Linked DNA regions of Cricetulus griseus. The protein of the gene in region 1 interacts with the protein of each later gene in a pairwise test. Links are inferred from orthologs where the notes say so. Each region holds a gene or a part of one and is shown on either strand. Other genes may lie near its edges.

Evidence for each region. The genes of interacting proteins can lie anywhere in the genome.
Region 2: the proteins of Osgin1 (region 1) and Capn3 interact in binary tests that used the Homo sapiens proteins (3 or more experiments, as listed by UniProt). The two-hybrid records come from large-scale screens. The link is inferred for Cricetulus griseus from reciprocal best matches to the Homo sapiens genes OSGIN1 and CAPN3.
Region 3: the proteins of Osgin1 (region 1) and breast cancer anti-estrogen resistance protein 3 homolog interact in binary tests that used the Homo sapiens proteins (3 or more experiments, as listed by UniProt). The link is inferred for Cricetulus griseus from reciprocal best matches to the Homo sapiens genes OSGIN1 and BCAR3.

Annotation. Positions count from the first base shown.
Region 1 is NC_048596.1:196,070,502-196,074,663, forward strand, and holds the start of Osgin1 (oxidative stress-induced growth inhibitor 1), read left to right. Parts: upstream 1-1,350; 5' UTR 1,351-1,518; intron 1,519-4,162. UniProt on the Homo sapiens protein: Monooxygenase catalytic activity. Involved in regulation of cytokinesis; promotes RHOA activity, probably acting locally at the midbody in late cytokinesis.
Region 2 is NC_048599.1:57,997,932-58,001,447, forward strand, and holds part of Capn3 (calpain-3), read right to left. Parts: intron 2,058-3,516; coding exon 1,988-2,057; intron 806-1,987; coding exon 687-805; intron 1-686. UniProt on the Homo sapiens protein: Calcium-regulated non-lysosomal thiol-protease. Proteolytically cleaves CTBP1 at 'His-409'. Mediates, with UTP25, the proteasome-independent degradation of p53/TP53.
Region 3 is NW_023276806.1:35,976,801-35,979,816, forward strand, and holds the end of breast cancer anti-estrogen resistance protein 3 homolog, read right to left. Parts: intron 1,141-3,016; coding exon 962-1,140; 3' UTR 511-961; downstream 1-510. UniProt on the Homo sapiens protein: Acts as an adapter protein downstream of several growth factor receptors to promote cell proliferation, migration, and redistribution of actin fibers.

The sequences.
Region 1 (4,162 bases):
GTGAGGTAGGGATGTGTGTGTGTGTGTGAGTGTGTGTGTGTGTGTGTTTGTGTGTGTGTAGCAGTACTGGGGATTGAATCCAGGGCTTTGAGCATGCTAGGCAGTGTTCTGCCACTGAGCCATCTCCCAGCCTGAGCCCAGGTTTGAACATATGCATATGAATGCAAGCAGGGTTTTGTGGAAGGATTTTTTTTTTTTTTTTTTTTTTTAATGGTACTAGGGCTTGAACCTAGGGCCTCATGCAATGCTAGGCACTGGCTCTACTGAACTATTTCCCCAGGCCTATATGCAGCATTTTAAATAATAATTTTTTTAAGCCAGGAAAAACAAAATATTAAATTTTTAAATAAAAATGTGTGCTAGTAGCCAAGATTCTCCCAGCTGGAGGCTGCTCCACAAGGTGGGCCTAAGGACCCTGTCTTTCTTTACAGGGTCTTTGAAGGGTTCTTTATCTGGCGTTTGTATTCATCTTTTTTAAATTTTCTTCATTTTTTTTTTTTTAGAAAATTGCATCTAAGCGTCACTTTCTTGGTTAGTGTGTGGAGTCCCTCTTAGTGTTGGTTCTTAGAGCAAGAGCCTGACACCCACCCCCCAGTCCTTGCCCTGGTGGCAGAGAGGACCATGAGGGTGACAGCTGATAATGACAGGAACAGGTAATGGTCACCAAGGTTGACAGTGACCTAAACCCCTACCCAACTTCCTTCTGTTGGAGCAAATACTGAACACCTTTGTGGAGAGTGCTGTCCCAGACCTAGTAGGCAGCAAACAGTGCCACCCCAGGACCAAGCTTCCATTCAGCAAACTCAAGAACAGTTTAGCAGATGGTGTGACCCCTCCCCGCTCCTCTACAGGAAGGGAAGTCTATGAGGACCAGGGAGATACCACACAATCCTCTGGCCCACACACCCCAGCCCAGGAAGGAATCAAGCTCAACCCCGTTTTTCAGATAGGGAAACTGAGGTTTGTCCAGAGCCTCCAACCAAGAAGTTACAGAGTGGGGATTACCAGGGGTCAGGCTGGTGCCTGGTGGCTTTTTTTCTGCCCCCCTCCCCACAAGCTGGGGTGGAAGCCTGGTGGAACAGCTGCATAAGGTACTTCAGGGGCCAGCAGGCCAGTCATTTCAATTGCACATGGCAAAGTTGTTCCCATAGGGAAGAGACCAGGTGATCTCTCCCAAGGGTCACAGTTCCTCCTTCAGATCGAGCCTAAAAAGGGGGGCTGACCAGCAGGGGCCCTTTAAGGCTGGCCAGGGGCAAGTTCATTCACCCAGGGGCCCCTGCTGACTCATGCTTATGAAAGTGATTTTCCTGGCCCCGCCCCTGCCTCCGCCTCCTCCCAGCCCTGCAGTGAAATACCCCTGCTAGCCTTGGGCCTCTCACAGCCTCTGGGATCTCCAGGGCTAATGGACATCCTGTTCCTGCAGTCAGTCACCGTGACCAAGTCCCAAACCCTGACCAAGTTCCTCTGAGTGTCCTGCCAACCCAGGTTCACCAACTCCCTCCAGCTACTGCCCATCAGGTGAGTGGCCTGGGCAAGGCTGTGGGTGGGAAGTGATAGCTGTGGGGAAAGGGAAGCCAGACAGGGCAGCAGGGCAGTAAGTAACTTGGTCCTGAGCAGGACTCTGGGATTCCTCCCTGCTCCTCCCAGCCATGTCCATGTCCAGGTGCCTGGGCCACTCTCCCCAACAGCCTCATCCAGCCCATGGAGTAGCTGTTCTGGCAGGAAGAAGTGTGAATAGCCTTGATCCATGGCCACCATGTCTATAGTCCAGTGGGTGCTGTGCCCTGTGTGTCAGGCACAGATGGGCACAGCCCAGGGGTCTGGGCACTAAGCTTATGGAAGGTGCTTGGAGGTGGGGCATCAGGAATCCTTGGGCTCAGGTGGGGCAGGCACTTGAAATAAGTGTTCATTGTGACTAAGGCCGGGTAATACTTGGCTGACTGCGCACTTCCTCACGCCCCAGGACTTTGTGTCACTAGCAGCTGTCACTGTTACTTGTTGCTTTGTTTGGGAATGGAGGGGAAGGGGACCAAACTAGGCTGTCTGAGACCTAGACAAGATGCCTTCCTCTACCCTACCTCAGTTTCTTTCTCTGTGTAGTGGGGATAAGAAACCCCAGCTCTTGAGTATCTTAGAGGCAAATGGTACAAGGCCCCAGCCCTCCCCAGTGTGACAATTTCATAACCTCAGAAATATCTGTGGTGTTACACCAGGGCAGTTATTGACACTTATGAGAAATTCTGCTTTTCATTTTTATGTGCATGGTGCATGTGCTCATACCTGTGGAGGTCAGAGGTTGATGCCTAGCAACTTCCTCAATCGCTGTCCACTTTCTTTTTCTTTATTATTTATTTCTTTATCTTTGTTTATTCAAGACAGGGTTTCTCTGTGTAGCCCTGGCTGTCCTGGAACTCACTTTGTAGACCAGGCTGGCCATGGTTAGTACTTAGATGGGAGACACCTTATTTTTAATCTTTTTTTTTTTTTAATAGAGAAAGTGTGTTGGGGGGTCAGTCAGTCACCCTTAGGGGTCAGGAGTCAGTTTCTCCTCCCATCTTTATTGAGTCCTAGGGATCAAATCAGGTCACCACCCTTATGTAACAAGTTACCTGTTGGGCCATTTCCCTGGCTCTCCTGGACTGAACCTGGAGCCCATTGATTCAGCTAGCCAGCCAGTTGTCTCCAGGCCGCTTCCCTCCAGACCTGGGATTATAGACATTTGCTTTTTACAGGGGCACAAGGGATCCTAACTCAGGTCCTTGCACTGTGAGGCAGGCACTGTACCCACTGAGCCATCTCCCTGGCCACCCACACCAGCAATTCATCGTGTTAACTTTTATGTCACTATTGCCCTACCAGAGGGACATCAAAAAGGGGCTGTTCTAAACTTCAGGGTGGGGGACTCGCTCCTGTAATCTGAGCACTTGGGAGGTGCTGGCAGGAGGATCAAGAGTTGTAGGCCATCAGAGGCTTGGTGTAGTTTAAAGCCACCCTTGGCTGCAGGAGACCCTGTCTCAAACAAACCAGGAGGCTTATTCCAACTCTACAAAATACAGCCAGAGAGTGGAGCTGAAGTGCAGAGAAGTTGTTTTGCTTTATAAATGTGTAGCTAATGTTTGTGGGTGGTTGTGAGGGTGAGCAGCTTGGAGGATGTGACCTGGGGGGGACGGGGGGCCGGGGCCTGGTGGTGACCTCATGTGTATGGCATCCAGCAGCTCCAGGTGAAGCCTCTGCCAGCTGTGCTGGGAAAGGGGCCTGGTCTTGGAGTGCAAAGTCCTCCAAAGTATTAGCCCATCCTACTTCCTGTGAAGCAACTTGGGCATCCCCTTGGATCTGGCCTGTGTGGACAGGGCCTCCTGCTGGCACCAGTGAGGAGTTGTATGCTGGGGTATTACAATGAAGGAAAGGGTTGGCACCTCAGGTCTCCAGGGATACTTGGCATGCTCTTTTTAGGAGTGTTGGAATGTCTAGTAGGGTTCTGCCCACAGGGATCAATTTTCAGTTCTGTTAACTGCTTGTTCTGAAGCTTTGGGGGCATGACTTTTCCCCTGAAACCTCAGTCTCCTCATCTGAGAAGTGGGTTGCTGCTGTTCCTGGGGATAGCAGAGGCAGGAGGGAGAAAGCCCAGGCCCTTTGATGTTCCTCGGGTGCACTTGGGAGGGGATTGCCTTCCAGGAACTGCAGCCTGAATGCCCAAGGCTCTGACCATAGCTGCACGGTCAGTGAGAGACTGACCCTGCAGCAGGCCATTGGGTACAACCACACAGTGCATGATGAGTCTCTGGCCCCTACACTTGCAGGAGCACAGAAAAGGTTCTGGAATGAGATGGCCCGGTACAAGTCCAGTCCCCCTGACTAGATGTAGGATAGGCTCCTTGAAGCAAAGGTCTCCAGCCTCAGTCTCTATCTGTAAATTGGGAGTGATCGAAAGAGTACTTTTACCACTCAGATAAATATTATAAGCATGAACTGGTGTGTGTAGAGGGCTTGGACCTTGAGTAGCAACAGCTCTACGGAAGTCTGACAATGCCTGGTGTTGGCTGCTACAATTACTGCCATTGGTCATGCTACTTCAGTATCCTCTTAGGCCCTGTATGGGAAGGCCATATGGTTTCTAATAACAGCAGGGAGCCACCTGCGCCCTCCCAGGGAGGAGGAGGGG
Region 2 (3,516 bases), on another chromosome or scaffold:
CCAGCACTCGGAAGGCAGAGGCAGGCGAATCTCTGTGATTTTGAGGCCAGGCTGATCTACAGATTGAGTTATATGACAGGTTCCAAAGTACACCCTGGGGGTGGGGGTGGGGGTGGGGATGGGGTTTGGGGGGTTGGGGGGTGAACAGGCACAGATAAGAGCAGACCACAGGTATGACAGCCGGCACATACATACATCAGATACCACACATAGGCAACAAGGACAGACAAATCACACACATACAATAGACAGAATACACTGACTGGTGGTGGTACACACTTTTAATCCCAGCACTAGGGAGGCAGAGGCAGGCAGATCTCTGTGTTGGAGGCCAGCCTAGTCTACAGAGCCAGTTCCACGACAGGCTCCAAAACTACACAGAGAAACCATGTCTAGAAAAACCAATCAACAACCAACCAACCAACCAAACAAACAAAACAACAACAACAACAAAAAAACCAAACCAAAACCAAAAAGAAAACAGAACATACAGACTACAGACAGGTCAGTAACCATAGACTGGAAACACACAAGAAGTGGGCTGGCTCTTAAACTAACCCAAGAGAAGGTTACTTTGTTTTCATTCCTTGAGGCAACATGGAGCATTTTGGTGCCTTCTCTGAGGTTATCTTTAATGCATCAACCAAGGTCTGGCTTCCATCTCACCCACATCCCCATTTCCTCACCTGGAAGTGGAAGATCCCCGCATAGTTTTCAGTGAAACTTTGATCATGGGGTATAACTCGGAAAAGCAGCCTCTCGTTCAGCGTCAGGCAGGCGATGGCTGCAAGAAACCAGCAGTCCCCTGTAGGCAAACACAGACTGTTAGTCAGGTAGCGGCTGCCCCTCTGGGAAGAGAAGACCCAGCTCCTGCCATGAATTCCCCATCCTGAAGAATTGGATGCTAATGTTGCCCACCTCCCTACTTCCTGTCTGCCCTCACCAGGTGTGAACCCAGGCAAGGAGAGCCACAGGAACTCCTCAACAGCCAGAGGAACAGGGTAACTCATTCTCTCAGGATTGGATGTTTTCCTAAGGTCAACTAATTCCTCCTTTTATAAAGAGACTCACTTCCTTCAAGGAGACAGCAGTGGGTGGTCATGGCTGCCCTCCGTTTTTGCTGGGTTAACCTTTTCCCTTTTGGCATCAAGGACAACTGTGTGTCAGAGAACCATCAACTAAGCAGATGTGCATCAGCTAACTGTCCAGGACCAGTCTACAAAGGGCACCGAGACTGGCAAAAGGCATACCCGGTGCCCCGACAGTCCTGCATCTATCTACTAAGGGCACAGGCCAGCCACCACCCTGCTGGTAAGGAGAGGCTGACAACTGCCCAAGCCACCTATCTCCCTCCTTTGAATCAGCCAGCCTATCCTCTGGAAGTAGTGTATCGGTTTGAAGGGCTCAGAGCTTAGTTTGTCCCCAGGCAGTGTCCCTTAGGTGCCCCAACACCCAGTGTCTGCAGCCTCTCTTTCTGGAAGAAACTAAGATGATGCTTTTCAGCTGCCCTTGCCTTTTTTGTGTTTTATATTGCCTTTTAATGATTTCTCCAATTTCCCTCCACAGAGCTTGCCCACAGTCTGCCCCAGGGAGGATGCTTCCAGAACTAAAGGTGAAAGGAGAGGAAGGGCTGTGTAACAGCCAAGCTGACAGAACCTGGGCCTCTCTTCCTCTTGGCAAATGCCACCTCTGTCAAAAGACTCCTTTAGTGTGGAGATGCCTAATGTGATGACCTGAGTTTGACCTCCAGATCCTACACAGAAAAAGGAAACAACTGTTTCCCCACAAGCTGTTCTCTGACCTTCTAGGTTTGTGCCATGGTGTGTGGTTGTACACACACACACACACTTAAATAGATAATTTTAAAAGATTTTGAAATGCATTAAAAGAAGAAACAGAATTTTGTTTTTTCACATCCTGAATAGAGACCACACCTGCTAACTAGCCCTGGGTCGTCTGGCCGGGCATGGTGGAGGGAGTTTCCTACCTAGGTCTCCTTGGCAGATGTCAGTCCTGTTGGCTCCACCAATGATAAATCGGGGATTCTCACAAATTTCCTGCAGAACAAAAAGGAAACAACCAGGTAAACAAACAGCCAGCTGACTGGCTGTTTCCAAAAAGGAAACAACAATCCAGCAATTGTTGGATTTCCAGGCTGACCCGATGGCGTACTGCCCTGGTACCATGGGCTTTACACTCACTGACCCTTACGCCTCCACAGCCAGCGGTTCACGCCAAGAATGTGGACTACCATCACTCTTCTTTTTCAAACCAGAGAGCTGAGGCTGAGAGTTGGGTGTATTGGTGCGTATCTATAATCCCAGCACTGGAGGGGCTGACGCAGGGGGATGGCTAGTTCAAGGTCAGCATGGGCTAAATAAGGAGACCCTACCTTAAGAGGAACAATAAACAACTGAAGATCAGGGAAGGTAAGAAAGCCGCCCCAAGGCTATCTGCTCTTCTCTCCCACACTAGACACAGAATGGCATATCCCTTGAGTACAGACTGGTATGTACCTTGAGAGGCGGGGCAAAGTGGCTACAGAACTCATGGGGAAAGGATGCTAGTAGGAAAAAAAAAAAAAAGATCTTCCTTTCTAAGATGTGGGACATAAATATTTAGAGGCAGCATATATCCCAGCATCTGCAGGTCTTGGCAGTCTGCAAAGAAGATAGGAAATCTAGTGTGAGCCTCACCTGCCCCTCCTAGGTTGTTGGAAGGGGCAAATCTGCCCAGAACAGCAACAGTGGCAGCTGCAGTTTCCAAAACTAGGTATCACACAGCACATCAGCAGTCAACAGAGGGTGCTCTTGATTTCATTCGGTGTTGGCTTTGCTTTAATTAATTGATTAATTAATTTATTTTATTTTATTTTTTTTTTACTTTTAAGCTAATTAAAGATTTGGTGTTTTGATTTTAAGGTTGTTCTTTACAGCTTCAAGAAACCTTGTTATTCCTGTGAAGTGTTCTGTGCTGGCTAGTTTTATGTCAACATGACACAAACTAGAGTCATCTGAAAGGAGGGAAACTCCATTGAGAAGATGCCTCCATAAGATCCGGCTGTAGGACATTTTCTTAATTAGTGATTGATGGGAGAGGGCCCAGCCCATTGTAGGTGGTGACACCCCTGAGCTGCTGGTTCTGGGTTCTATAAGAAAGCTGACTCCCACAACTTGTCCTCTGACCTCCACACATGTGCCATGAATGCTTGTATTCCCCCTGCACACACAGATACTTACACAATAGATTAAATAAATAAATGTAACTTTAAAAAATTAAATTCTAAGGGATTGTCAATAGGCTGTGAAGTACTAGTAACTGATAAAGACTTTTCAAAGAAAAAAGAAAGTTGTGGGAAAACTAAGCCTCAATGGGCCTGACAGCTGGCCTAGAGCATGCGCAATTGATATCTCCTTTCAGCCATCCTGGGTCTGCCAGAGGACCTTGAGAACAGCAGATAAGAGATGACATGGACCTATGGTCAGCAATTACATCAGGTCAGCAGATGCCTGCTCA
Region 3 (3,016 bases), on another chromosome or scaffold:
TGTCACTGGGGGTGGGCTGTATTTATAGCCTCACCCTACTTCCTGTTCTTACTCTTCCCTGTGTGTAGATGCTACCATGATGTTCTCTGCCCCTCTAGAACCATAAAAGCCACAACAAACCCTTTCTTCTTCAAGTTGATTTGGGTGCAACAAAAAGTAACCAACAAAGGAATTAAGGGATCCCGGAAGAACTATGAATAGACAAGCATTGCGGCAAGTGTGTCTCAGAAGGCTTTCCAGAGGAGCCGATGTGATAGACCACTTGTGTCATGAAGTAGCATGGCAGCTGATGGCTCAGCTCAGTCCAGTTGTTAGCAAGCACTTGGAGCTGGAACCTAGGTCTTCCTTTAGCTCACTATTCATTCTGTCTTTGCAGCAAACCCTTAGATTTGCAAATCACTTTTGTTAATTTTGGTTTAATATGGAGATAGGGAGGAAAGTTCCTTAGAATCCAGGAGTTAGAATTGTCATGCTAAGGTAAGTCAATATTAAATAGACAGGACACAATCATTTCACAAAAAAAGATATATTTCCACTCATGGCTATTTACAGTTTCATATTCAGAGAATATCATATAACTGATACCTTCTGCAATGTTTCATGCTTTTCTTTTAAATGCCTCTATTTACATTTATATGACATGGAATTAAAACTAAGATGGTCAAATACCATGATATTAAACAACCAGCAACATAGCTATGTCTTCTTAAATTTGCTGATCAACATTAGCAACAGTTATCTTAATAATAAATTACCATTTATTTAAAAATCAGTAGTAATTTTAAACAATTCATAAATTCATAAATAAGTATGCTCTGTGCAATTTACACATTTAACACCCTGTGGATATTAAACGCTCGTATCTTGTTAGATTTGCACATTATTTATCAGACCATAAATAAGCATTCCGAGCCAGACTGGAGAAGTTTCAGGTAAGGCCTCAAGGTCTTCTGGGTGGTTCTCAGAGCTCGGCCTGCTTCACCGAGGGAGGTTCCAGTTTCCGTGAGAGGGCGGTTAAAATCTGGTTGAACTTCTCGTATCTCTCAGTCTGGTTGACTTCAGCACCCTTGCTGCCCCACAGCAATCGCATCTGAAATTCAGTCTTCAAGATTTCACTCATTTCTTCATCCGGTTGAAAATCTAATCAAAATAAAACAGGTAAGTTCGGTTCTGCCTCAAAAAAGTGAATGAAAGCCTTCCTATTTTACAGTAGAATTAAATGAACTTCCTCCTCTCTGAGTTCTAAAAACTGCTTCCATAGAAAAATGTAGGATGACATCATTTGGCCAGCTTTAAAGAATCCACAAGCCTGTGTCCCCCGGTGAGTGTTGGCTGGCATCTTGTCTGGATTTGTTCCTAACAATTTTACTTGCCATGTGATTCAACTATGTAAGCTGTAAGATTTGATTGATGCTAGTAAATTTATAGATACTTTATTCAGCTTAGAAAGTTCCCTAGTACTCCAGACAGCCAGTCTGTTCCTGCCCCGTCCTAGAGAACCGCTGATGAGCCTTGCTGCTTTAGAAGTCTGATAGAAGTGGAAACATGTGATAGGTTGTGCAGTCAGGGCGCTTTCACTTCGTGTCATGGTTTTCAGATTGTTCTGTGTGTGGCATGTTAGCAATAACACATCCATTTAATTGCTGATTAGTAGGCGTTTATAATATATGGACATATCAGATTTTGTTAACCCATTCACTAACTGATGTACTGTACATGTACAAGCCCGAGTATGGATGTTTATTTCTATAGGGTCATATGGTAAACCTGTGCTTATTTTGAAAGAACTAGTCATAACCTTGTCAGTTTTATATTCACTCATAATATATGAAGATTTCAGTGTCTTCATGCCTGGTTTTTATCAATAGTCTTCATTAGAGCCACTCTGGGTATCTCACTGCATCTAAAGTTTCAATTCCTAAACAATTTTTTCCCTAACAGTTCTGCATCTTCTCTGAGGTGGCGTCTATTTAAATTACTCATTTGGGGTTTTTTTGTGGGTTTTGTTTTACTTGTTTATTTTGGTTTTTTGAGGCAGTGTTTCACTGCTGGACTTACACTCAAATAGACCCACCTGTCTCTGCCTCCCAAGTTGGAGTTAAAGGTGTGCTCTGCCACCGCCTGCTACTCCTTGTGTTTCATGAGGTTTTTAAGCTGTAAGTTTTTCTCCTAAGATACAGGTTTAATTGTATAGCTTGCTTTTTTACTTAATGTTTTGAAGAGCAAAAATTAAAAATCATGATTAATTAGTGTTTTTGGTTAGGCTTTATACTTTTCTTCCTGCCAGGGGCATCATGCGATTCTTTTATATTTTATTACAGAACCTTTTTATACTATAAAGTTGAAAAATATAAGAGCCAAGTGATTTGCTACATAGGTTAGCTTCTTTAATATGTAACATCCAGTGTCATATATACTAGGTGCTTTAATAGCTATTGAATTGTATACTTTAATTATGAGTCACATGCCAAACCTGAGGACCTTGTGTGACTGCACATGTGTGTGAAAGTAAGGAGCCGTCTACCTTGTTTTTCTGAGACAGTATCATTGGCCTTGAACTCATCAAATAGGCTATGCTTGCTGCCAATGGGCCCTAGGGAATCCTCCTGGGTCTCCACATACGCTAACTACCATGTCTGGCTTTTTCATGTGGATTTTGGAGATGGATGTCAGGTCCTCTTTTGACTGAGCCATCTCCCTAGCCCCTGAGGAATCTGTGAGGAAAGTCAAGAAACAAGTATATGGTACCCACAATGCAGAGTCTAGTACTAACATGTAGCTCTGAGGTAACAATATTCTATTAAAATGAGATTGATAGGCCCATTTTTGTCCCACACAGTATCTTGAAGGGTCTGAAAAATTAGAAGCCTTGGCTAAAGTTCTTGGTCAAGCACTTGATTTCTAAAGAGGCTGTCTTCCTTCAGCTCTGCAGCCCATCCTCCACATGTCACCAAGGTGACTCAGTTTAACCCCTCCCGAGCTACAGCCCCTCCATCTTCAGTGCAGTTGGCCTTTC